Caenorhabditis elegans: one gene and its partners. The protein of the gene in region 4 binds, or shares a complex with, the protein of the main gene of each other region. Each region holds a gene or a part of one and is shown on either strand. Other genes may lie near its edges. The genes, in order: mix-1, smc-4, dpy-27 and dpy-28.

Evidence for each region.
Region 1: dpy-28 (region 4) and mix-1 share a complex: the UniProt entries of both Caenorhabditis elegans proteins name them as parts of the condensin I complex.
Region 2: dpy-28 (region 4) and smc-4 share a complex: the UniProt entries of both Caenorhabditis elegans proteins name them as parts of the condensin I complex.
Region 3: dpy-28 (region 4) and dpy-27 share a complex: the UniProt entries of both Caenorhabditis elegans proteins name them as parts of the dosage compensation complex.

What each region holds. Positions count from the first base shown.
Region 1 is NC_003280.10:10,822,313-10,827,279, reverse strand, and holds the start of mix-1 (Mitotic chromosome and X-chromosome-associated protein mix-1), read right to left. Parts: upstream 3,035-4,967; 5' UTR 2,897-3,034; coding exon 2,803-2,896; intron 2,717-2,802; coding exon 2,633-2,716; intron 2,474-2,632; coding exon 1,542-2,473; intron 1,491-1,541; coding exon 1,339-1,490; intron 879-1,338; coding exon 773-878; intron 724-772; coding exon 584-723; intron 1-583. Other genes in the region: R06F6.12 (uncharacterized protein), read left to right, coding at 3,201-3,262, 3,313-3,490, 3,536-3,978, 4,024-4,112, 4,165-4,271, 4,445-4,819. UniProt on the Caenorhabditis elegans protein: Essential protein required for both chromosome condensation and segregation and X-chromosome dosage compensation depending on its binding partners.
Region 2 is NC_003281.10:4,585,707-4,593,533, reverse strand, and holds smc-4 (Structural maintenance of chromosomes protein 4), read right to left. Parts: upstream 6,034-7,827; 5' UTR 6,029-6,033; coding exon 5,879-6,028; intron 5,826-5,878; coding exon 5,760-5,825; intron 5,716-5,759; coding exon 5,401-5,715; intron 5,353-5,400; coding exon 5,179-5,352; intron 5,138-5,178; coding exon 4,845-5,137; intron 4,799-4,844; coding exon 4,054-4,798; intron 4,006-4,053; coding exon 3,748-4,005; intron 3,703-3,747; coding exon 3,268-3,702; intron 3,219-3,267; coding exon 3,011-3,218; intron 2,962-3,010; coding exon 2,456-2,961; intron 2,408-2,455; coding exon 1,889-2,407; intron 1,836-1,888; coding exon 1,612-1,835; intron 1,568-1,611; coding exon 1,029-1,567; intron 980-1,028; coding exon 888-979; intron 840-887; coding exon 714-839; 3' UTR 410-713; downstream 1-409. Other genes in the region: erh-2 (Enhancer of rudimentary homolog 2), read right to left, coding at 33-157, 202-301; F35G12.7 (Divalent-cation tolerance protein CutA), read left to right, coding at 6,299-6,375, 6,420-6,479, 6,528-6,615, 6,660-6,782; F35G12.5 (SPK domain-containing protein), read right to left, coding at 7,060-7,182, 7,230-7,325, 7,371-7,493, 7,544-7,669, 7,720-7,827. UniProt on the Caenorhabditis elegans protein: Central component of the condensin I complex, a complex required for conversion of interphase chromatin into mitotic-like condense chromosomes. The condensin I complex introduces positive supercoils into relaxed DNA in the presence of type I topoisomerases.
Region 3 is NC_003281.10:3,813,660-3,821,514, forward strand, and holds the start of dpy-27 (Chromosome condensation protein dpy-27), read right to left. Parts: upstream 6,021-7,855; 5' UTR 6,019-6,020; coding exon 5,593-6,018; intron 5,544-5,592; coding exon 5,442-5,543; intron 5,360-5,441; coding exon 5,001-5,359; intron 4,817-5,000; coding exon 4,061-4,816; intron 3,998-4,060; coding exon 3,760-3,997; intron 3,554-3,759; coding exon 3,345-3,553; intron 3,297-3,344; coding exon 2,846-3,296; intron 2,715-2,845; coding exon 2,277-2,714; intron 1,958-2,276; coding exon 1,680-1,957; intron 1,613-1,679; coding exon 1,264-1,612; intron 1,160-1,263; coding exon 619-1,159; intron 513-618; coding exon 250-512; 3' UTR 1-249. UniProt on the Caenorhabditis elegans protein: Central component of the condensin I-like dosage compensation complex that associates specifically with hermaphrodite X chromosomes to reduce their gene transcription throughout development.
Region 4 is NC_003281.10:10,761,564-10,766,156, reverse strand, and holds the start of dpy-28 (Condensin complex subunit 1), read right to left. Parts: upstream 3,027-4,593; 5' UTR 3,011-3,026; coding exon 2,883-3,010; intron 2,215-2,882; coding exon 1,997-2,214; intron 1,143-1,996; coding exon 868-1,142; intron 216-867; coding exon 1-215. Other genes in the region: tasp-1 (TASPase homolog), read right to left, coding at 3,351-3,555, 3,738-3,803, 4,471-4,593. UniProt on the Caenorhabditis elegans protein: Required for both chromosome condensation and segregation during mitosis and meiosis and X-chromosome dosage compensation depending on its binding partners.

The DNA of each region.
Region 1 (4,967 bases), on a different chromosome or scaffold from region 4:
TAAATAGCCACAATTTATTGCATATTGTGATAGTTTATCACGCAATTTTCCTAAATTTTGGTGCTTTTTCAGTTGATTATGCCGAAACTCTCGAAAAAAAATTCGCGAAATTTGAAATTTTAGCTGAAAAAAAGCATTAATTTTTGAAAAACAACTGTTTTAAAATTAAAAAAAGTTTTCTCAAAATTCCGAAAGAAAACTATTTTTTAAAGCTAATATCTCGAATTTTACCAACTTTTCAGTGTCATAACGGCCGGAACTTGGTTCGTAGTAAATTATCACTCTTTATTGCACGTTTTTTCGTTAATGTTGATGGCTTTTCGGTCGATTTCACCAAAAATGTGCAGAAAATGCACCTGAATTCACGAAAAAAAAACGCATAATATACTACAAAAATATATGTTTTTTTTTTTTCATATTTAAATATGCAATAAAAAGGCGATAATTGAATAAAAACCAAGTTCCGCTCGCTGCGATACTGAAAAATTGACAAAATTCGGGTTTTATTATGAAAATAGGTTTTTTTTTTTAAATTTTGAAACGGTATAACTCTTTTAAAATGAATTTTCACACAAAACCTTACTTGTATGAATTCAGAAGTCTCGTATCCATATCCTTGAGCTTAGTGATGCTCTCATGCAATTTTGCAGCGTGTTCTCGTTTCTCCGTATCAGCATCTATATTGAAACCCAATAATTGAAGTTGCTTATTGATCTCATCGACCTGAATATTTTTAAGTTTTCGGAGAAAAAAAAATTGAAATATCTGATACCTCTTTTTGATAATTATCGGCACTTCCAATGTCAGATTTACTTCTGGCTGAGAGAGTAGCTTTTTCGCCTTCCAAATGTTTAATTTGGTTGTGTAGACGTTCACCGCTGAAATAAATTGCCAATTTTTCAATGATATTCCTATTTAAAAAAGTACATTTCTTCTTTTGTCCCATTAAATTTACTGAATTTCCAAATTAATGCATTATTTTTTCGATGTTGTGTTTTCTTTCAATTTTTGCAATTTTTCAATGAAATTACATCGTTTGTAGTCAATTTTTTATCGTTTTATGTTAATTTTTCTGTTTAAAAATTGTTTAAAACCAGTTTTCAATGTAAAAATAGTATAAAACTGGTTTAAAATTTTTTAAACAGAAAACTGAAGAGAAAACGACAGAATAATTTCATTGAAAGTATCCGCAAAAAAACTATCATTGACGTTTTCAAAAAGCGAAAAAACGAAACTTTTTGTTTTTCGATTTTTCTTAAAATATCTCAAAATTTTTGTCATTATTCTTATCGACATAAACAAAATTAGATTTTTTGTTCCAATTCTCAGGAAAGTTACCGTTTCTTCGCAGCAGTAATCCCAGATGACATTTGAGACGCAGTCGACTTGCAAGACTGTATTTCACTCTCAATCGACACATGTTCTCCTTTGTCATTAGCAATTGTTCCTCTCGTTAGGGATTCGAGGTCATTACGGTATTTTGTGACGAGCTGAAATTGTTTTTTTTTAACTTTATTTTTAGAATAATTTCTCGAACTTACAGCTTCATCATCAGATTGACTTTGAATATCTTTCGAGTTAGCCGCCTTTGAATCTTCGTGTTCTTTTCGTTTTGCGTCGAGAACTTCACGATCTTTTGACAAGCTTTTGTTGATTTGTTCACCTTCCTTTTTGAGTTTATTGATTGTTTCAACCAATTGATTTTTGACAGTCTCCTTCTGAAGCATTATAGATTGTTTCGAAAGATGAGCCGCTGAAAGTGCAGCCTCTTCATGTTGATCATCTCGAGATTCTTCCATCTTTTTCTTCTCATCTTCCTTATTCTTCAAGTCAAGATCAAGCTGATTAAACTTTTCACCGAGATCTTCAATTCCCTTTTTGGCATCTTCAATCTCTTTTGCACTTTTTTTCACCGCTTCACATGTTTGAAAGTATTGAAACGCCTCGTATTTTCGGGAAAAGTTCTCTTTGAGTTTCTTGAGACGAGTCACTTCCACCATATTCTTTCTGTCTTCACGGAACTTTACCATTCTCGGATCAATACTTGATTGGAAGATTCTATCAACTTCTTTGAGTTTTGCATCTTTTAAAAACATTGTTTTCTCCGCGTCTTTCTTCTTCTGATCATACATCTTTGTTCCAGCTGCTTCCTCAACCATTCCGAGGATTTCCTCCGGCTTCATGTTTAGCACCGTAGTAATACGACCTTGCATGATGAGAAAATGTGGATTATTCACGTTCAAACCGACGCCACGGAAGAAATCTTGCATTTTTCCATTTGTGGCCGCATGCCCATTCAGTGTGTAACTCGTTGCACATCCTTTTCCAGTTGCTTGAGCTGTGATGATTCTCTGAACGACGATCTCGTCGAGATGTTCCATTCCGAACGGGGAGCATCTTTTATCAGTGTTGTCGAAGCGAACTTGGACGATCGCTTTTGTTCCACCATGGGAAATCAGCTCGTGCATTGATTCTGGAATGATATTTGACTTAATTTTTTTTTCTAAATTTCAATTTAAAAAATCTTTGCTAGAAATATTATGCTACTCTGATCTTGTGCTTTTTCAGTCCGAAAGCGCGTAAGTATCACTATGACAACAAAATAATTTTGTGATGAGAAAGAGCCACATACTTGCTCTGATATTATCGAGCTTATTGATTCCCATAATGAAGCAGATCGAATCGAGAATATTGGATTTTCCACTACCATTGTATCCTGAAATAAAACAATTATTATACTATATTTTATGCTGAAATTAAAGTTTTTCAAACTATTAGTTTTCAGCACAAAACTATACTCACCGGTGATTGCGTTGAAAGTCGGCGAAAAATCGAGAATATCGGTGTGCTTTTGGTACGATTTAAAGCCATCCAGATGGATGGATTTAATGTGCATTATGAGCGCACCCTGTCGAATTGATTTTGAACAAAAATAAGTTATAAGTCGATAACGAGTTTGAGAAAATGTTTATTTCGAAAGCCGAATGAGCTTTGAATGTTTTTTGGCGCGTCTTTTGAGAAGTGTGCAGAGTGGCGTGAGAGTGTTTGCGGACTGGAATGTATGAGATTTGACGCGCAAAAGTTGCCTTGTGATTTTTGTAATTTTTTTCTCCTTTGTTTTTTCTCCTTCGCTATAATTTAGAGTCATTTATTAATTTTTATTTTTTAATTTTTATTAAACAACGAAAATCGTTGCAGATATGGATTCCGAAAAAGAAAATCCTGCTAGCCCAACAACAGGCCGTGAAGAAGAAATTCCTGGGTAAGAATAAAAATCACATTTTCTTTCAAATTAATAAATGGAATTTCCAGATCCTCCCCAGAAGGTGTATATCCTGCCGATGAAGATCATATTTTCCACGAGGATCAGGCCCCACTTCGAGTTGAAAGTGCTAAGCATGAAGAAGAAATTGTTGAGCAGCAGCAGCAGCAGCCGGAAGATCTTGAACAAGGAGATATGATTGTGGAGGATGGTGATCAACAGTTTATGGTATTTCAAGCTTTTCGATGAATTGAAAGAATATTTATATTTCAGAATATGGTTCAAATCACGCAGGAAGACATGTACGAAGCGGGTTTCGATGTAGAAGCAGGCTTTGAGCTTAATCATCTCACCGAAGAGCAGCTGAACATTGTGGTGGCGATTAGTCAACAACGACAGGCGAAACAAAACGAGCAAGAGCACAATGAAGAAGTTGTCATAGAAGATGGTTCACATCATCACATGGTTCATCACGAAATGATTGAAAATCAATTTGAAGGTGATGGAAATGGGCCGGAGGAAGAATATGATGGGAATGGTCAGATAATCGATAATGCAATGCATATTATTCTGACAAATGATGGTGGAGTCAATATTACATCAAAACAGAAGCAATTCTATGTTTCCCCCTCCGAAATCGCCAATTTGAACATTGATTTAAACAATTTAAGCACTGAAAATGTCCATCAACTTGTGCAACTTGCTCTACCGCCCATGTAGGTCAACACGTAGAATTTTAACTATATTTTTATTATTTTTAGAAAAGAAAAAGCTCAAGATTCTGCATACAACGATCAGGCTCCATCAACAAGTTATCACCATCATCATCATGAACAGTTGGAAGCTGGAAGTGAGTTTCAGAAGCTTATTTGAACTAATTTTAATTATCCAAATTATTTTAGAATCTACAAGAAGCCCAATAATTGGAGAAACCGTTCAAATTCGGACAGCTGATGGTCGTCTTCAAGATGCGGTTGTCAAATATGTTCGAGGCGATTCGGAGTACAAGGTGAGAAACTCTTTACTTTTTCTGTTTAATTAGGCAAGATAAGCTCTGTTTTGATCCGATAAAATGTAATTATTTTCAACTTTTGGATCAAAACAGAGCTTTTCTAGAAAAAACGAAGAAAAATGCTCATAAAACTTCTATAAAGTATATTTTTTAAAGCTTTGAAATTTCAGATCCAATTAATGAATGGAGAATTCGCGTACGCCACCATCGACCAGATGCTCGTACCCCAGCGAGACCGAAGTGATCACGAGTATCAACAAGTTGCTCCGCCCGTCTTGCTCCGGAGGACGGATATGGCTTCAGTTCGAAATGCTGCTCAAAAGCGATCAGCCAACGATGATCTGTGCCCTCCAGTTCTGAAAAAGTCGTATCAGTTGGCTCCTGTCGTCGACGGACCACATCTAGTACATACTCCGAACTTTTGTTGCCCGATTTGTGATAAGAAGGTCTACCAGAAGGAGCCATCGTACATTGTTATTCGGCTACCAGCTTGTGATTCATGTACTCGTGAGAAGATTATAGTTCTTGATGAGCAAAGCAGTTGATATTCTTCATTTTTACTCGAAATTTATGGATTCATTTATTTATATGTTGCTAAAATTCTATTGTTGTAAATTAATCATTTAATTTTGTTTTTGCACATGTTCAATCAAATACACATAATTCTTTTTAGATACATAAAAAATCTACAAA
Region 2 (7,827 bases), 6.2 Mb from region 4:
TTTGGGAGGATATGCAGATCAATAATACATACGCGATTGAAGATCATCATAGAAACATCGGAGAGCTTATCGAGAAACTCGTAGACTTGCGACACGTCGTATGTGACTGGAGCAGCTGATTTCTTGGAAAGGAAATCTTCAAACATCTTGCAAAGAGCTGAAAAATTCCATTAAACATAATAATTCTCACGGAATGGTTACCATCAAGAGCGTCAGTTACACTCTCATAATCTCCCCAAGTCCGTGAATCAAGACGTGGTGATGTTTGAATCAGAAGTACGGTATGTGAAGAAGTAGACATATCTGAAATTACATGCATAACACGAGTTACAGTGAAAATCCACAAAATAAATAGTGAAAATGGAAATCTGAATCAGATTAACCATGAGGGATATACTAGTCAACGCTTCACCGATAAACGTTCTTATTTCAAACGAAAAGACACATAGCTCAATTATATCATTAAATTACAGTTTGGAGCCGAAAAAAAAATACAACGCAAAATGGCTCAAACTTTGGCCCTCAAATTAAATATAATTGAGAATAAGAATAAATAAAAAGGAAAAGGGAGAGATTTCTTGAACAGGGAGAGGTTAAAGAATTGCACATGAGTATCATTTGCGCGAGTTTAAAATAATAATAAACGGAAGAGTCGAGGGATCAGAGAACTAATACCCGTCAAAACAAAAGAGGATAGAACTTTTTTGAATGAATTATTCCATATCATCATCGTCATCAACGATTGCCTTCTCCTTCTTTTTACTCGACGGTGTCAACGGTTTCATTGGAGATCGTTTTGGTGTACTTGCGGAATTTGAACGCTTTGAAGGTGGAGTAGTCTGAAAATGGGAAATAAAATGAGTCTCAAATTTTTTAATGAAACTAACCTCATCGGCCTCTATGTTTCGTGCCTTTCTCGGGCTACGAACATTCTGTGACGACGATCTTTCGACAAGGCGTGGAGCAGGATATTTCATTTCTAAAAATAAGTTGTTTCATTTTCATAATAAATACGCCATTGGTCTTACGATTTATACGAGATTCGGGTCGACTTGCTGACCGACTAGCCGGTCTTTCAGTTCCATCGCCACTTGTCGTTGCTTTGGATTGTGGTCTTGAAGTGACATCTCGGGTAGTTTGAATCAATTCTTTCCTGACACGTCCTTCAACGTTAACAATCTTTTCGGCCTTTGAAATCTCATTTGATGATGGGAAGTTCGGATATTGTTTTTCTTGTGCAATCATTTCCTTATTCTGCCGACTCATTGTCTCATTGAATCGTTGAGTTACTTCATCAGGAAGAGTACACGTGGCCTGCCCCAAACTGTCCGTAATTTGCTTCGCCATCTCACAAACTCTCAATGGATCAATGGCTACATTACGAGTACACCCATCAACTTTATAGATACCAACGAGACGATTGGCGAGTTCAAACATATTATTTCTCAAAGAAATAATAATAAACTGCGCGTTTTCAGTCTTTTGTCGGACGTATTGGGCAATAATCGAAACGTTACGATAGTCGAGAGCAGCATCGATTTCGTCCATAACGTAGAATGGAGTAGGTCTAAACGAGGGATTATAATAATTATTAAAGAAAGTATTTAGTACCTGAACATGTGGAGCGCAAAAATGAGAGCCAATGAGGACAATGTCTTCTCTCCACCCGAAAGGAATTGAATTTGCTTCCAAGCTTTCTTCGCTGGGCGAACCATAAAACTGATTCCTTGTCGGAATGGATCGTCTTTATCAATGTATTCCAATTTGGCATCTCCTCCGTCAGTTAGCATTTTGAAAACGGCAACCAAATGTTTTCCAATGAATTCGAATGCAGACTGAAATATTTTTTAAAAATTAATCAGAAACCTATCAACGTCTGATTTCTTACATGGAATTCTTCAAGTCGCATCTGCTTGATTCGTTGAAGTTCTTGATTATGTTTTCGATGTACTTCTGTGGCTATTGTCAACTTGATCACTTGTTCATTGTATTGCTTGACCTTATCAACATAAGCTTTAATCGATGAGATATCAACTTTAGCTTTCAATGCTTCCACTTGTTGTTCACACACTTTCAGCTTCATTTGCATTTCTTCAGCGTCTCGGCTCGAAATCTCGTTGATTTTCTCGTCGGACAGAAGCTCGACCGGTACCCGGTCCTCTCCGTCGACATTCTCATACGATTCAGTGTTTTCCAACACTTTCTGTCGCATTTCGAACTCGAGAGCGTACGCGGCGTCACTCATCACGCAGGCCATATGCTTCTTTTGTCGTTCAACTTCTTCTGGACTCTGATTTTCATCAACCACCGGCATTTTATCATCGATTTGCATTTCGAGATCTTCTGGCCGACTTGATTCGATGAGAAATTGGAATCGTGGGATTCGATTAACTTTCAAAGCAGCGAGCTGTAAAAAAAGAACATTTAATTTAATAGATTTTTATTAATAACAAACCTTCTTTTCAATATCCTCAACCTTTAATCGATCTGCCAACATACTTTCCTTCAACTCCTTTATTCCCTCACTGCACTTTTTCAATTCTCCCTCCAATTTCGTCTCTGCAGCTGACAATTCCGATTGTTTCTTCGTCATTTCCTCTCCTTTTGTCTGTAACTTCTTGATTTGCTTTTCAAAGCGCTCAACCGTTTCTTTCTTCGATTTCACTTCCTCATCATCGATTGCTTTCTCCATCAATTCTTCGCACTTTTTCTTCATCTTCTCAATGTCTTTATCGTGTCTGGAAATGTTCTCATCGCACTTTGCAATGTTTCTGCCCGAATTGGAAATATTTGCAGTTTCTTTGGCGATATCCTTCTCAAGTTTTTGACGTTTCTGAAGAGACTCTTTGGCTTCGTCTCGATGACATTGTACAAGTTCCTTGAAGATTCCGTCAAGCTTACTCTGAATTTCAGCTTGACGAGCTTTTACTTTCGCAGCTTCTTCGCCCAACTCATCTCGTTCTGAAATGAAATATATTACCCAAATCATGATGATATGACGGAAAATTACTTTTTTCGAGCTCCTCAACAATCTTCTGTTTATCTTCTAATGTCTTCGCATCCACCTTAACTTTCGCTGCTTCTTTTTCTTGATTTGCGATCGTTTTCTTGAGGGTTTCAATTGCTGGAGCTGCAGATTGAACTGAAGAAGTCACAATAGACAAACGATTACTCATTTCAGCGACTTTGCGACGTGCTTCGATTAGCTGTCCGTCCATCTAAAAATCGGTTTGTTATATTTTATATTTTTATCCTTTAATATCTTACTTCATGCTCTTGTCCTTTAAGTTCATCAGCTTCATCTCTCAATTTTCCAAGTTTTTCAGCTAAATCTCGTTCAGCGGCTTTATCTTCAGGTGTCACTTGTTTAGCCATCTTATTTTTATCCGTGAGAATGAGACCTTTCACTGTTTTTCCACCTCCTGTGAATGATCCAGATGGGTGAATCATAGAACCTTCTAGTGTGCACACGGTAACACCACGACAAGCGGGCATTCTATGCATTCGCTGAGCTTCCTGGGTAGAATCGCCCACAATTGCACTACGCACCATATCATAGAATGCTGGTTTAAGAACAGGATCACAATCAATCAGATCAATAAGACGAGGAGCAGGTAATGGGTTCGTCGGATTGGGAGCTAAATCTCTCTTATCACACTTAATTTTGTCCAATGGCTGAACAGTTTGTCGAGGTAATTTATTCTGAAAACCAATGTATTCCTAGAAAATGAGGGTTATAAAACTTACAGCAACTAAAAAATTGATGACATTTTTTGCATCTTCTTCTTTCCCTACAATAAGATAGTTGAGACGGGCCCCGAAATTTGTGCAAATCGCTCCCTCATATTTCGGATCAATGACACCGAGATCACCAAGACGACCGTGAAAACTTTTAATTCTTCCAGCTTCTTTTTCCTTCATTAAGGCTTGAATAACTTTATTCGAACTTGAGCAAGACGAGTTTTGCTGGCGAAGAGTTTCGAGACGATCACGCGTTTTTGCCAACTGTAAAATAGGATTTATTTAAATTTATCAGGCTTTTTGAAAACCTACATCTTGATTCTTCTGTCTTGCCGTATTTCGAAGAGTTGGCAATTCTGTACTCAGTTGTTTTAACTTATCATTCCAAGAATCAAATTCCGGCTTCAGCTTATCTAACTCATCCTTCTCTTTCGCATAACTTTCTTCTGAAGATTCTAATCGTTTCTTCAGTTCGATAAGCTTATCCGTTCCAGAATTCGCGAGCTTCTTTAAATCCTCGAAATCTTCCCGTGCAATCCTTGCTTCACCTCGAACTTTGTTAAATTCGTTGCTCTTCTGCGCCCAAGTCTCTTGAATCTTCTTTTGTTCTTCTTTTGGCGCTTCAGAGCGTTTTTCAAATTCATCAAGATTCTTGTCGGCTTCCTCGTTAGCTGTTTTCTCTATTTCAAGCAACTGTTCCACTTCTTCCTGACATTTTGCGATTTTTCTCTCCGCCTTTTCGGGTGCTGCTTCCAGATTTGATCGCTTTTTAACCTCTTTTTCCTTCTCAGCTTCCGCCTTTGAAATATTAGCTTGATGCCTTTTCAAAGCCTCCTTCCTGCGAGTCTCTTCAGTGCCCAAGTCGCTCAATTCCTTAGATAGACTATCAAAGTTTTTGTCGAGTTTCGAACGCTCTTCAATCATAACTTTCTGAGCTTCCTCAGATTGTTTGTATTCGTTTTTGTTGGTATCCAGCGTTTCAGCAATCGATTTCATTTCTTCTTTCATCTTGTCAAGTTCGGCTTGTTTTGGAGCAATTTTATCTAGGTATCGTTGCCTTAAAACGTTAAATGTTATTTTAACCTGGAATATTTCAGAACTACCGTCTTCTTTGCTCCAATTTCATATGAATCGTTGTAGCCTCGTTTTCTTTCATCAGAAACTCAATTGCAGCTCTAACTGGATTCTCCATAGCTACTTTGCTGTTTCTGGCGTGATCACGAGCGATTCTTTGTTGAGAAAGATCACAAGTAAGACGATTGACGCGTCGCTGGAATAATTTAACAAAGGGCTCGAGTCGGTTTGTTCCGATAATATCCTCCAAATATTCAACCATTCCAGTTTCACTTTTGGTGGTTTTCACTGGTTTCATCATTGCAATTTGTTCGACTTCTCCCTGAAAAAAATGTTTATTACCGGTTTTATTGTCACTTTTACCTGAAGAATTAGAAAACGATTATGCTCAATATCAATGTCAACGCGTCGTAGGCGTGCTTCAACTTCATTCTTCGTTGCCGGTCGACCATCGATAGCATATGAGCTTGAGTTATTTTGAAAAGCAGTTCTAGAGATTGTGAACTCAGAATCCTTGACGACTTCGTAATGCCCAGGCTGAAAAAAAGCAAATTTATATTTTATTAGATTCTCTGATTCACTTACAATATCGACGATCCGCTGAAAATGAATAGTGACTGTGCATTTGTCTGGATTTCTTCCAGCACTTTTGTGAATCAAATTTGACACTTTTGCAGAACGAATTTTGGAAGCACGGAAACCGAAAACGAATAAGAGCGAATCGATTAAATTAGACTTTCCAGATCCATTTGGACCGATAATTGATGTGAAACTTTTGTGAAATGGTCCAATGGAAGCCTTGCCGAAGTAACTCTTGAAATTGTCCACTTCAACATTGCGAATCATCAAACGATCCGCCCGATTCGGTTTTGTAAGGAAATCGGGTCGCGATGGCAGTTGCTGTAAAATGTAATGACTTTAATATTAAAAACAGAGTAACATACCAATGAGAAAAGATCACTGTCGTCGTCCTCTCCGTCGCTTCCATCAAATTTTTCATTTACCGCTCTCTGAATAAAAATTTCAGTTTTATTGCTGCTTTTAAATATTCTGAGAGGGATACCTGTAGTTCTTCTTCCGGGTCCTTTGATCCTTCCTTGTGTCGGTTCACAGGCTTCGTTGTCTTTTTCTGCGGCTTTTTAACAGGAGCGTCATCAAAATCAGAATCAGATTCGTCTGATTGTGGCGGCGCCGCCGAAGTCTTCGGAGGCATCAACCCTAAAATACGTTGATTTTTAGGATTTGAGTGCTTAATATGAAAAAGACATTTCCCAACAAAAACAAAAAGTGGGACAGCAGCGGCTAAACAATTATTGGCGGTGAAATTCGAACAAAATTTTGGCGCGCATACAAGTGTGTGCAAACACCGTGACGCGCAAGTGCGACCCATACATTTAATTATACGACGAGAGCTAGAATGAAGTACGGTAATTAATTAAACATTTCTGAATTGCTTCAACATAAAATAAGTTTTCAAATAAAAATGACAACACCCGCTGTAAAAATGGTTGTCGCGTATGTGACAGCTCCGAGTAAGGAAGTTGCAATGACTGTGGCAAGGTATTTTTTTGTTTTCTGTCTACCAAAACATAATTTCATTTCAGAACAACTGTCACTGAAGCATTAGCCGCTTGCGCCAATGTTATTCCGGAAGTCACATCTGTGTAAGTATTTTATCTTTTTTAAATCTGTGCGAGAATCCAGATATTCAGATACAAATGGCAAGGAAAAATTGAAGAAGATCAAGAGCATGTCGTGATCTTGAAAACTGTAGAAAGCAAAGTCGAAGAGCTATCAGCTGTATGTTTTTATTTCGGATCACTAAGATTTTCATTCAATTTCAGCGTGTTCGATCTCTTCATCCGGCTGAAACTCCGTGCTTCTTCACACTGGCCATTGACAAAATAACTCCCGATTTTGGAGGATGGATTGTGGATTCTACGAATTCTTCAACTGCGAAACATTGAAACTTAAAACTTTATTCATATTTATTTCTACCAACTAAACATTAAATCAACGGGAACTGATAAATACATACAAACAGATTTGGCTAAGGAAAAAAACATCGTAATAAGAAAAAATGCTCCGAAAATTTGAAGATTCCAAAATAACGATTTGAGCATGCTTTTTTGGGGATTGTCTTGAAAGCTTCAAATTTTTTTTTCGAGCGATTCTGATGTGATTTAATGAATTTTTTTCAAAGAGATCGAGTTGAACGGGAAAGACAGGGCTATCATTAACTAGCTAGCGAGCATCACTTCGAACTCCAACAGCTTTGTCTACAATGTTAAGCGAGAAGACCATCGGGACAGCAATCTTGTATGCATGGCGTTTGTATGTATGATAATCATATTCCGTCCAAAATAACTGAAAAACATTGAAATGTTTTCTCATATATGTTCAATCATTCTTACTTTTTGCTCCTGAATAATTATCTCAAAGATCCTATCCATGCTTTTCTTTTCGTTATTGTATTGTGTCTCCCATCCCGGAAAGTCTTCACACATGAACTGAAAATTCGAAGTTGAAAAGAAATCCACTAAAAAAACTCTCACTTTGTGGATGCTGTATGTAGATTCTGAAGCGGACTTTGAACTAACATATTGATAGATCATAGAAAACTCACAGTCTCCAATTTCATGGAAACCGAGAAATTTAATTACTTGGTTGACCTTCACCTTAAAAATATTGATTTACTTTCTTGACCAATCAAAATATAATAGCTTACTCTGTTCATATTCTCAGAATCCGAGGGCATTATCAAGTTGAACTTCACGTAAAGGCTCTCTTCATTCAACAGCGACAAGAGTGTAAATGAATGATGGTTCTGTATCCAGGACCTTGGGATCACTTTCTAAACGTACTAAATTTCTCCCTTGTTTAACAATAAGATTAAATTATTACCTGAACCTCTTCCTCAAAATCAGTGTAATTAAACCCATCTGGATTTTTCTGATCAAGTTTCTGCAGCACGTACATGGTTTGCGGAAAAAATCTCAAATTTTTTGCCCA
Region 3 (7,855 bases), 6.9 Mb from region 4:
TACCTTGTCAGCGAATTAAGAAAATGAGATAGATTGGACAGTACGTGATGCAAAGATATAGGGGTTTCACAAAATATACAACAAAATGGAAATATATTAAAAAGGGAAATAATTAAAATCACAAGGAAAAATTAAGCTAGACGAATATTAAAAAATACAAGCTTGAAAGAAAGTTGGTCTCATTTTTTGGATTTTTCACAAAGTTTTCTTTTTTTTTTCAAAATTTAGTTTAAAATATATTACTTCAATTTAATGTCTGCTTCTTCGCACACGGCGTTGAACGACAATTGGTGGTGGAGATGGAGTTGCTTCTTCGATCAATTCATCCTCTTCATCTTCCTCTTCAACTTGACGACGCGGACGTCTTCTTACTGGCTCATCGTCTTCATCTGAATCCTCAACACTTAATTCACGACGAGTTGCGGGTGGGAATCTATTAAATTCAGGAAGATCACTGTCATCATCGAGACCAAAGTCCGAGAGTTTCAGCATTTCCAGCCGGCGTTGTTTACCTGAAAATTGGTATTTGTTGAGATGGGTTTAAGTTGGACTGGTTGCTACTTTGATTTGGTATTTTACAATTAAAGTGCAGTTGATATGTCACTAATTATTACTTACGTTTTGGTGCAATAACGACATTGCTGAGCCCATTACTCAAATCAATTTCCGGTTCAATCTCGGCACGTCGTAGCTTCTCGCGCCGTTTGATCTCCTCCTCGAAAATCTTCAAAATCGGACGATTCTTGATCTCCACCGCGATCGGATCCACCATAATGTTATAAGTTTTTCCATCGATTTTATAGATACCAAGCAAGCGATTTCCGACCTCGAACATTTGATTTCGAAGCGAAATTATGATAAATTGAGCGTTCCGTGTTCGCTCGGAATGCTTGATATAGTTTGCAATCAGGCTGACATTGTTCAAGTCCAGTGCCGCATCGATTTCATCCATCACGTAGAGGGGTGTTGGACGGTAGTGGTGCATTGCAAAGACAAAGCATAAAGAGGCCAGAGTCTTCTCTCCGCCAGATAGATTCTCGATGAGCTTCCAGGATTTCTTGGCGGGACGTACACTGAACTTTATTCCACCATCGAAGGGATCGGTAGATTTTCCTTCTTCCACAAACTTCAAACTAGCATCTCCGCCATTGGTGATAAGCTGTAAGCAAATAACTTGTTTCTTTTAATCTCATTTAAAGCAATGGGTCTGACAGAAAAAATGCTTCCTGTCAGCCTGGTAGCAGGCAAGTACCCCTTACTCACCTGGTAAAGCATTTGGGTAGTAGTACCCAAGAATGCGAGCGCCTCGCTGAACTCGTTGAATCTCGCCATTCTCAACTCGTTGAGCTTCTCACGATGAGCCTTCAGCTTATCGCTAAACTTCTTCGCTGACGTCACCTCGTTCATGAGAAGCGACACAATCATCGCATAATCCCGAACACCTTTATTATCAAATTCCCGCCGGAACTTGTCAACATCTTTTTCCAGCTTGCAAATCTTGTTAGCAGTGTCCTCGAAAACATCGTCCTCAAGCATTCTCGCTTCGTGCTCTTCGTAAGCTTCACGGTGAGGTTCGATCATACTGATGCATTCATATGGGAGTACAACGTGCCTAAAAACTCAGTGATTATAAATTTGAATTTGCACATGGAAAATCTCCCAAAGCTTCTGAAACGTACCCATCAGTCATTTTGGCCGCAATATCTGGATCATTATATCTGACAAATTTGCCAGGTGGATAGAGCTTTTCCGGTTGCATCCATGCAGATTCAATAATATCAAGTTCTGCATTATCCGCCATTGTCTTGTTTTCCAAGTCATCAATGATTCTCATCAGTTCATCATAAGTCTGTTTGACCATGTTGTAGTTGTCAACTGTGGTTTGATAGGCTGCATCTGCTTCTCGGCGTGCCGCAACCGCTTCAGTGTACCTGGCTCTTTGTGCATCAATGCTGGCCTGGAAGATTAAAAATTAGAAAATAGTAAAGCTTGAATTGGTAAATTCTGAATAGCTCGAAAATGGCGAACTTCATAAGGAGACTGCTTAAAAAAGCGCAAAAATTGTTTGAATAGTGGTTTAAAATTTTGAAAAAAAATCGAAAATGTTTACTAGAACTAAGGGAGCAAGGTTGGAAACACCAAGCTAAAGCCTAAGCCTAAAAAAAGCCTAAGTTGGAGCTCAAGCCAGAACCTAAGCCTGGACCTAAGCTTGAACTGAAGTCGAAGCCTAAACATAAGCCTAACCAGAATCCTAGTCCTATAGAAATTAAACATACCGTTGAAGTTTGCAATTGCGCATTGATAATATCAATTCCCTTTACATCCTCTCCAACTTCCAATTGAGCCAATGCATCTGCCTCGCTACGTTTCTCCAGACACATATGCTCCAGCTCACTAAGCTTCTTCTCGGCCTGCTCCAAATGTGATGGATTGTTCTCAATAATTGCAGTTTGTCGTGCAATGTCCTGCTCCAGCTGTCCCATTCGATCCTTCGCCTGCTCAATTGAGTCCTTATTTTTTTGGACCAACTCCATAAACATTCGGTCCATTTTCCGTTTGTATTGCTCAATTTGCTGCTTGATTTTTGCTGAAGACTTTTGGCTCTCCTCCACTTGACGTTTCAGATCTGCAATTTGAGCTCTCTTCTCGTCCAAATCCTCAACGGTCACTTCTCTATAGTTAACCATACGGCGCTCATGTGCTGCGATTGAGCTCTGGAAATAATTAAAAAATTAGAATGGAAATTTTGAATAAAATCTAGTTTTTTTTTCGATATATCCATTTTCAAGAAAATCGGAACAGCGAAAATTTCTGTGTTTCAGTAAGAGACGCAAAAATAAATCACCTTTAACTCGGCAATCCGTGTTTTCTGCTCCTTGGTGGACATAATCAATTCACGCTTACGAATCTCGAGCTGTTTGATAATCGGACCATTGTCGGCTCGGATCTCTTCTTGCTTTAACTGCAACTTCAAATGAGCTTCCAGTGCGTGATTGTGCTTCTCCTGTGCGGCTCTTAGCTTGCTCAAATCAACTTTTTTGACTCCACTCATGTTTGGATTATTATCATTTCGAATACGACCAGTCGTCGGTTTTCCACCACCAGTCAATGCTCCACTTCGGTTCAAAATTGAGCCATTCAGTGTGCAATAACGATGCCTTCCAGGATACTTCTTATCAATTCGAGTTGCTTCTTCAAGACTGTCAACAACCAGAATGTCATGGATCAAGAAATAGAATTCGCGGCGAATCTCAGGGTTTACACAGTGAATCTTATCGAAAAGTCGTTCGGCTGGGCTGAAAATAAGAATTAATTAGATTTGGCAACTAAAGGCAACTACCAACAATTTCATTGTAGAATCCATTCCGCTAGTATCAGTATCTTTCAAGTGATCCAAGAAGACAAACGTCGTACGAGGAAGTTTGTACTCGTGGCAGAAGCCAATTCCGATTCTACATTCATCGCTAGTTTGCACAACGTGGTAATCCAATTGTGCAAAGAACACTGTTGAAATTGCGGTGTCGAACTTGATTGGGATACTTGCCAAATCTCCCTGTAAGACAATTAATTTTAAATTGGTCCTCGAAAAAAAATCAATTCGAAATCAGACTAAACGTGTGGCTTCTGAATTTGAAAGATCCTATTTAAAATGTATTTCTCCCAGAAAAATCATACTTACATGGAACATCAGATTACCCCAGGATGCTCACAGCTAATCAAATTTCAAAGCAGGTACTCACTCCCAATCGAATAACTTACCAAGCGACCTTTGAAGCCCGGAAATAATCCAGCCTCTTTCAGTTCATGAAGCTTTGCGGTTGCCTGATGACGGTACGTAACTTCCTGGGTGTTCGATGCTTCAATCACTTCTTGATCCAGCTCATACTTCTTGCTTCTCAAAAGTTGTTCGGTAGACTTCAAATGCGGAAGCTTCTCGACAGCTTTGTCAAACTTCAGCTTTCTATCTTGCAGCTCAGTTGTGACGGCGTTTAGCTCACTGGAAGGATATGGGGAATTTTTAAAAGCTGGTTAAAATAAAATAAAATAAAATAAAACTTACGTATTATCTCTAATGTTCTCAGCCATCATTGTTTGCAATGTCCCTTTAAGCTCATCAACTCTCTTCTGTCCCTGCTCCATCATTATCGTCATATCCTTAAGTTCTGATTCAGAAACGTCCAATTCTGCTTTTGCTCGCATCGATTGCAGAAGCTCATCTGAGAGTTTTTTCTCCAGATCATCATGCTTCGCTCTGTCGGCACTAGACTTCTGATCATACTTGATGAGATTCTCTGTAGCTGTCCGCTGACACACATTCTCCTGCTCCTTGAGCTGATCCCATTCGAGTTGCATGTTTTGCTTAGAGATTCTCGCATTCTCTGGAGCCGTCTCAATTTCAAACTTCTCCCGACGAGCTTCATCCCGCTCCTTCATGAGCTTCCCAAGGTCCTGAGTACACGACTTGAGCCCCTGCTTTCTCTTAGCATCACGTGCATGCCAGTCATTCTTCTTCGATTGCCAATCGATTCTTTTATTCTCCAGCTCAGTGACAATACTATTAAGGCTTCTCTCGTGAGTCTCCTTCTTCCGAACTTCATCCTTTGCCTCAAGCATGATATCCTTGTTCTCTTCGAGTTCTCCTGTTCGAGTGACAAGACTCATTTTGGCGTCCCTCATTGTTTCAGCATAACGGCACAAATTGTGCTTGACACGGATTCCACGAAGGTAGTTGAGATTATTGAAGGTATTCAGGTAGGCCATCCCGATAACCATTGCCTTTTCAAAGACTTTTAGGTGTCCCTCGTGGCGGCGAACACTGGAAATGGAAAGAATTTTAATTTGAAATTTTTTTAAGTTTCAGAAAATTAATATATTTCAAGTTGAAACCGCAAAGTTTTTTTGTTTTTTCCTAGTTCAATTTGAATTTCCATGCTTTATATTTTTATGTGGTACATCCGTGCCAAAATTTGTGGTATTTAATAATATTAAAATGAACTTACGAGGCTCCATATTGTGAACTTTTGTGCTCCAATAGAGAAACCCGATGCATTAGTTTGGAAATTGGTGCGACAAAACGATTGGTTCCAACAATATCCTCAATATATTCAAGCATTCCTTCTTCATTCGGATTTTTGGATGTTGGCTTCATTAGTGCAATCGCTTCAACTTCTCCTTGCAGAATCAGGAATCGATTATGGGTCATATCAATTCCAGCACGTAGGAGAAGCTCCTGGACGTCTTTTTGCGATGCATCTTTGTCATCAATACGATATTTTGAATTGTTTTCACGATTTATTGTGCGGGTGATGCAGACGCAATTATCTGTTAACACTTCATATTTATCGTAATTTTCGACAGGCTGAAAATTAATTTTGATATTGATAGTTATTAGTTTGTTTTCAATCGTGTGGATCTCAGGCCCGCTTTAATAACCTACTTACCATATCCTTCACCATCTGGAACATAATTGTTACTGAACATGATTCGTAGTTCCCTCCTGAATTGATCAATGCTGATAGCTTCTTGGTACGAATTTTTCCAGCCTGAAACAATGTATATTGTGGAATAAAAATTTCAATTTAAAAAACTCACTTTAAATCCAAACACGAATAGCAATGCATCAATAACGTTTGACTTTCCACTTCCATTTGGTCCCAGGATCATTGTCAAGTTCTTGTGAAACGGTCCGAGAATATGTTTTCCAGCATAACTTTTAAAGTTCTCAACGTAGATATTCAGAATTATCATTCGATTTCCATCCGGATCCGAGATCTGATCTTCATATTTTGGGGGAATTTGAACATTCAAAAGATCCTCTTTTTCATCATATTTCACACCGTTTTCAGCCGCTTCAAGTTCCAACATATACGCGCCTGAACTAACATCATCGAATATGTTGAGCTGTTCCATGTACTGTCGTCGGCGATCCACGTCGAGATCGACTTCAGGCATCGAGTCGGTGTCAGCATATGGTCTATCATCGTCCGAGGTTAGCGCCCGTCTTTTAAACGGCTGCATACCTGAAAAAAGGAATTAATTTTGATAAATATTAAAAGGGAGAGGGAGAGTAAGAGGTGCATAATTTTGCCAAAAAGGCAAAGCTTTGGAAATGTTTTGACAACTGGCAAACTTTCGACCCCTTCCAATCAAATTTTTTTGGTAATTATCAACTGACAAAATTTCTTTGAATGCCAATTGCCAACATTACCTAATCAAAAAATTTTGAAATATATATTTCATATTTAAAATTGAATCACACAGTTTACAAATTGATAACATTGAAAAAAGTCATCTAGAAATTTATTAATGTTATAGTATATTATATAGTTATCAGTATGATTTCACCTCAAATATTGAAAACTAAATTTTTAATGTTGGGGAAAAATTCAAATCGATAATTCAAACGAATTTTTTTTCCGGACTTTAGGAAAATCAGGGCACAGATAACATTGGAAACTATATATAAGTTTGTTAATTTTTTTAAGATTTAAGATTATGAAAGCTGCGCTAATTAATTTATTTGTCAAATTCAAAAAAAAAGTTAAGAAACGGTCACACACGAGCACACACCCATTTCATTGCGCGCGCGCAAGCGTATGTCTGTGTCTGTGTGTGCGAGCTGTTACTACTGCTGACCGAGTGTGGGGTTAGAGGCAGACGACGAAAGAGAACGAAGGTGAAAGTGGAAAAGAGCATGGAGAACGTGGAGACTGAGAGAAATGACAGACTCCGACTGCGGTCAAGACGATTCGGGTGAGAGAAAGAATAGTGGAATAAGAGACGGAGAGAATCCATAGCAATGGGTGGGTGGGTGATGAGCGGAATATTGTTGCGAAGAAGGTTGGGTGTACCAGACTAAGGAGCTGGAGAGATAAAGATTCTAATTATTTGAAAATTTGGCAAACGTTTCCCATTACTAGATGTACAAATCGATATGCTACAGATAGTCGATCAACGATCACGCTTTGGGAAAAGTATACGAGTTTTCAGCTGAAGAGGTCCCCAAAAAACCGAGAGGTTTTTATATGTATAATATTGAAAAAAAATCACTAGATTTTATTGATAAGAAGTAGTTTAACACGATGAGTGAAACTTGAAATTTTATATTAGATATGTATGTGAATCCAGATGGAAGCATGAAGGAAATGAGCCAAAAATTTTGTCAATTTATGTGTCTGTACGATCTCTATTGAACTTCGTCTATAATAGAACAAGTAGTTAAAGTCCTGATAGGCATTACTGTCTGCGATTACCCGTGTCTTGCTCCGTCAAATCCATTGCACCAGTTGATCCGGGCATCCTTAATGAAGAAGAGAATAGAAGAGAATTGAAGTCAGAAGACAAAAGTATAAAACTGACTAGTTTTAACAAGGTGTGAGAAACAAGAGACGGATGATTATTTTGTACTTCTCAGGTCGCCTAGGTAACAAGCACACTGGTACGGGCTGGCACGACTCCATCTTGTGATGGGTAGAAGAGGTGTGTGAGAGAAGAATATGAGCTGATCTCCTCTGTTGAGATGATAGATAAGCTTATAATTTGAGCAGTTAGTTGCGTGTAATTGAGGATTTCGTTTTTGATGTTGCAGCCAACAACGGGTCTTCTAATGGTGGGAAATGAGAGATCAAACAACGGATGGTCTTGTGAGCAAGAACATCTGCCAACATACGGTTCAGATGAGCATATTACAGAGTCACAAACCATGTAAACTTCTAGAAAGTCTGCAATCGAAAAAATGGAGGGGAACTGTAGAAGAAGAAACAGGGGTATAATTTGATGTAAAACGGATTTGGATGTAAAACGAAATTTTCAATTCCGACAAAATGGCGGTTTTCCGATTTTCCGGATATTTTCA
Region 4 (4,593 bases):
ACTTTCAGAATTCTGAAATAATGAGAAATCCATTGTTGACTGGAACGAGCCATATTCTCGGGATCTTCAAGCAATTGGACAACTGTGTCAAGGAAGCGAAGCAAAAAGTCCTTTTCCATGACATCCGGCGCAAAAACGTATTGAATCGCCTTTTTCTTGGTTCCGGCAACGGTGTCGACACGAAGTTCAAGTAATTCCAGCAGGCAGTTGATCATCTGAATTTTGAAAATTTTGCAAATAATATTTTTAAAATGGATTAACAAATCTGATTATATTATATTGATATTAAAATCCAAAAAAAAATCCTTTCAGCAGAAAAAACTATATGAAATTTTTTTTTAAATATTTATGGCATTAAATATAGAAATATTCAGAGTTTGGAGCTTTTTTCTAGAAACTAAATAATAATTTCAAAAACTCAATTTTTTAGATGGAAGAGCTCTTTTCTATACAGATTTCGGGGGGCTTTGACCAGAAAACACGAAATTTTATATATTTATATTTCCCAGATGCGATATTTTGCGAAATTTTCACTAAACGGGTCTTGGCACGACCGATTTTATAGTAAAAGGACGTGAGCCTTTAAGGATTACAGTAGTTGTTTTTTTTTTCGATTTTTTTCAAAATGAAATCGGAAAATCGAAAATTTGGGAGTTAAAAAAATCTGAGTTTTCTTTTTTTTTTAAGAAGAAAATTGATTTTTTTATTTATTTTACAAACTTTTTTTTTCGATTTTGGATTTTCTATTATCTCTGAAAAACCTAAAATTTCTCGAAGACACATGAATTTTTGCGTTTTTTTTTAATGTTTTTTCTTCTAAAAAATCTATAAATTTACAATTTATTTTTCCTGGAAAACTATAATTACCCGATGTCTCTGAATATCCTTCCACTTGACAATATCATCATCTAAATCAACTTGACGACCACCTCTTCCAGTACCACGTTTCGCCTGTTGATTGGCTGATGCTATCGATTTTGATACGTATAATTGAAGTTGAACAGTCAATCGTTGAGTAAGAATTACAAACATACTGACTGCATGCACCAATTCCACATCGACACTATGATCTTCTCCAGATTCATTTTTTTCGAAATAATCGGCCACGTAGTCGCTTACAGAGTCTTTTAGAGCTCCGGAACCTGCAAAATTTTGCGGGGTTTTGAAGTGGAAAATATATTATCTGCATTTGAAAATAATTATTATTTTTTTTTAATTCGACTTTGAACAACTAAAAACAGCGAAAAAAATTGTCTGAAAGTTGAAAATGACCGGAAAAAATCAGGCAAATCCGGCAGTTTTCAACTGTTTATCTTTGAAATTTTTAGACAATTGCCGCTTTTAAAGGTCCTATATTTTTTGAGAATTTTCTGATTTTTTTATTATTTTTTCCAACAAAAAAAACCGAAAAATAGTTTTTTGAAACAAAAATTTTCAATTCTTCTGTCGAAAAATTGAGAAAATTGTCTAAAACAATAAAAGTAATGTTTTCTATGAAAAATCAAAGTTTTTCAAAGATTTTCTCCGAAAAAAAACAATTTTTCAGCGAAAATTTTTGAATTTTTCGAAAATCGGAGGAAAAACAGGAGGAAATTTACTTTTTAAAAAAATTTCTAGAAGCTTTTTAAAAATTGAGGTATTTTTCAACTAAATATGCATGTACAAATTTCTAGGTTTTTCAATTTTCAATTTTTTTTCGAAATTTTTAAACATTTTACTTTTTTTTTGAAATTTTTTATTTTTTCCAACAAAAAAAAACCGAAAAATCTTTTTTTTCTAATCAAAATTTTTCAATTTTTTGGTCTGAGAAAAATTGAGAAAACTGTCGATTTTTCTGCTTTTTCAGGAAATTATCAATGAGTTTTGGGCACTTTTTTCCTCTTAAAATATAGCAAATTTGAACTTTTTCGTGGTTTTTTAAATTAAAAAAAATTCTCTTCAAAATCGGGTTTTAGAGCAATATTTTATACTTCCAAAATTCCACCAAAAAACGCACAAGAAACGAGATAATCGACGACTTTGAATCGATTTTCCCAATTCTCATAAGTAGAAGCTCGCCGTGAAAGTGAGCTCAACGATGGAAAGAACTTTGGAATTCCTCTCCAATCAGAAATATCCGAATATGAAGAGAAACTGTCGATATCCTTATCGATTTGTTCGGATGGAATATTATTGTCAGCTTCGGCGATGATTTCCGTGATACTTTTGAAGCCACTGAAAAAAAAAATTTGAAAATTTAGAGTTTTTGACAGGAAAAAAACAGCCTTTTTCTCGGTTTTTCAGGAGAAATTTGAAGAAATTTGTGATTTTTTTTTCATATTTTGTTTTAAAAAATTCCGATTTACTTCTGCATTTTCTGTGGAAATTTAAAAAAATTATTTTTGATTGAGGAAAAATGGAAAAAAAACTGATTTTTCGGTTTTTGAAATGAATTTCAAAAAAAAAAACGGAAAAATCCATGGTTTTTCTTTTTTTTCTAGAAAACGGTGCATATTTATTAAACTTCACAGGAAAAATTCTTTATTTTACTTTTTTTTCTAGAAAATTCCATAAAAGGTTCTGTAAAAAATTATATATTAGTTTTAAATGAAATTAAATGAAAATTATGGGTTTTTCAGTGAAGAAAGCATCGAAATTATTGCAATTTGCAGAGAAATTTCAGTAAAAATTGAGAAAAATATATCTAAATCTGGAGTTTAATTGAAATTTTTGAAATTTGATATTAAATTTTTTTTTTTGAAATTATCGGAAAAAATTAAGTTTTTTATCGAATTTTAAACTGATTTTTTTAGTTTTTTATGTGAAAATTGTGCACGAAATCTGATTTTTCTCACGAAAAAAAAAACTGAAAAATCTATAATTTTCCAACTGAAATTCTCAACCTCAATCCATCATTATTCCGTGTCGGCTGCTGCTGCTGTTGCTGGCTCGTCGAGCCAAAATCCATATCCTCATCTTCATCTGAAGTCGGTGGTGACGGTGTAGTGACAACGCGTTGTTTTCTCGGCATTTGTTAGGGGAAAAGCCTGTAGAAGGGGGAAATTAGTTTTTAAAAAATAATAACAAATCAGTGATATTTCTAAGCGAGCAAGTGAGCACTAGAATAAATTCAATAAAAGAAAAAACAATTAAAAGTTTAAAAATTAAAATATTTACAAAATTCTTCATTTCATTTTAATTTCAAATCATAAAATATTCTTCAGCGGAGGATTGAGAGAGAAATCGGATGGAGTGGGGGAGTTGTTTTGTATATTTCCGCATTCAAACCCCGGAAAATTCCGAAAAAAAAACACAATTTCCAGATTTTTCTAAGTTTTAAACGCGGAATTCTTGATATCATATACATATTATTACATGATGAATGACTCGATAACACATTTAGGATCAGTAGTACATTGATCCGGATCGAATTGTGATTCAAAAACACGAATCTGATTGTCTCGACAACGAACTGCAGCCGGAAGATATCGACAATTATGGAAAATCAGAAATTCCAGCGACATTCGATCTTTGAATTTGTCGGCGATCAATGCGATGCCACCGTATCGGGATCCACTGCAAAAAAAATCAATTTTTCGATTTTTCGAAAAATATATATATAAAGCTTTATTATGTTTTTTCATCAACAGATACAAAATTTTATGAAAAATTTCATTTTTTTCGAACTTTCGATGTTCAATTTTTCAATTATTTAAATATAAATATGCTGCTCTGAATGGAATAATAAATCTACTTACTGTTCCATTTTTTCGTGTATGAATTCTCGAATAATCTCACTGTACATGATACCCTCCTCGTCGTCTCTGAAAGAAACAAAATTGATGCGTTGTTGTTATGGTAACTAGGGTCTCGCAGCGATTTATCTCTTTTTTTTTAGTCGTAAAATCTTTTTTAATATTAAATTTTCTTTTTTTTACAATTTTTAAAGCTATTTGTAAGGGAAATAATTTAAAAATTGTTAATTTATCAATTGTTTGCCGATTTTAAGAGAAAAAAGTTTAGAAACAGTCAAAAATTACATTTTTGTGCTACATTTTCAAGAAAAACGGTAAAAAACTTGGATTTGCAGTTTGTTTCAGATCACAAATATATGAAAATCTCGAATTTTGAGCTATTTTTTGCAGAAAATAGATAGGAAATTGTGGATTTTTGTGCTAATTTTGAGAGAAAATTGCCTTTGTAAAATTGTAATCGCTAAAAACGTCCCAATTTATGCAATTTCTACAGAAAATGGTCCTGAACGCGCAAAATCCCCGAATTTTAAGCAACTTTTTTAAAAAGAAAACTGGTCAGAATTTCCAAAAATTATAGATTTTTGTGCTAATTGTTCGAAAAAAGATTCAAAAATCATCAAAATTGTGGATTTTCATGCTGATTTACATCTAAAACTGCTCAGTTTTAAGTTATTTCTACGGAAAATGATCCAGTGCGCGCAAAATCTCCAAATTTTCAATAATTTCCCAAACTTACAGCACTCTCGTGGCGATACCCCTGCAGAAATCGGCTTTCACAAGTGATTCACCGTGTCCTGTCGAACAAATCGAGATGGTTCGTTCACTGACTTGATCAAATGGTTCTTCGTATTGCCTTCGT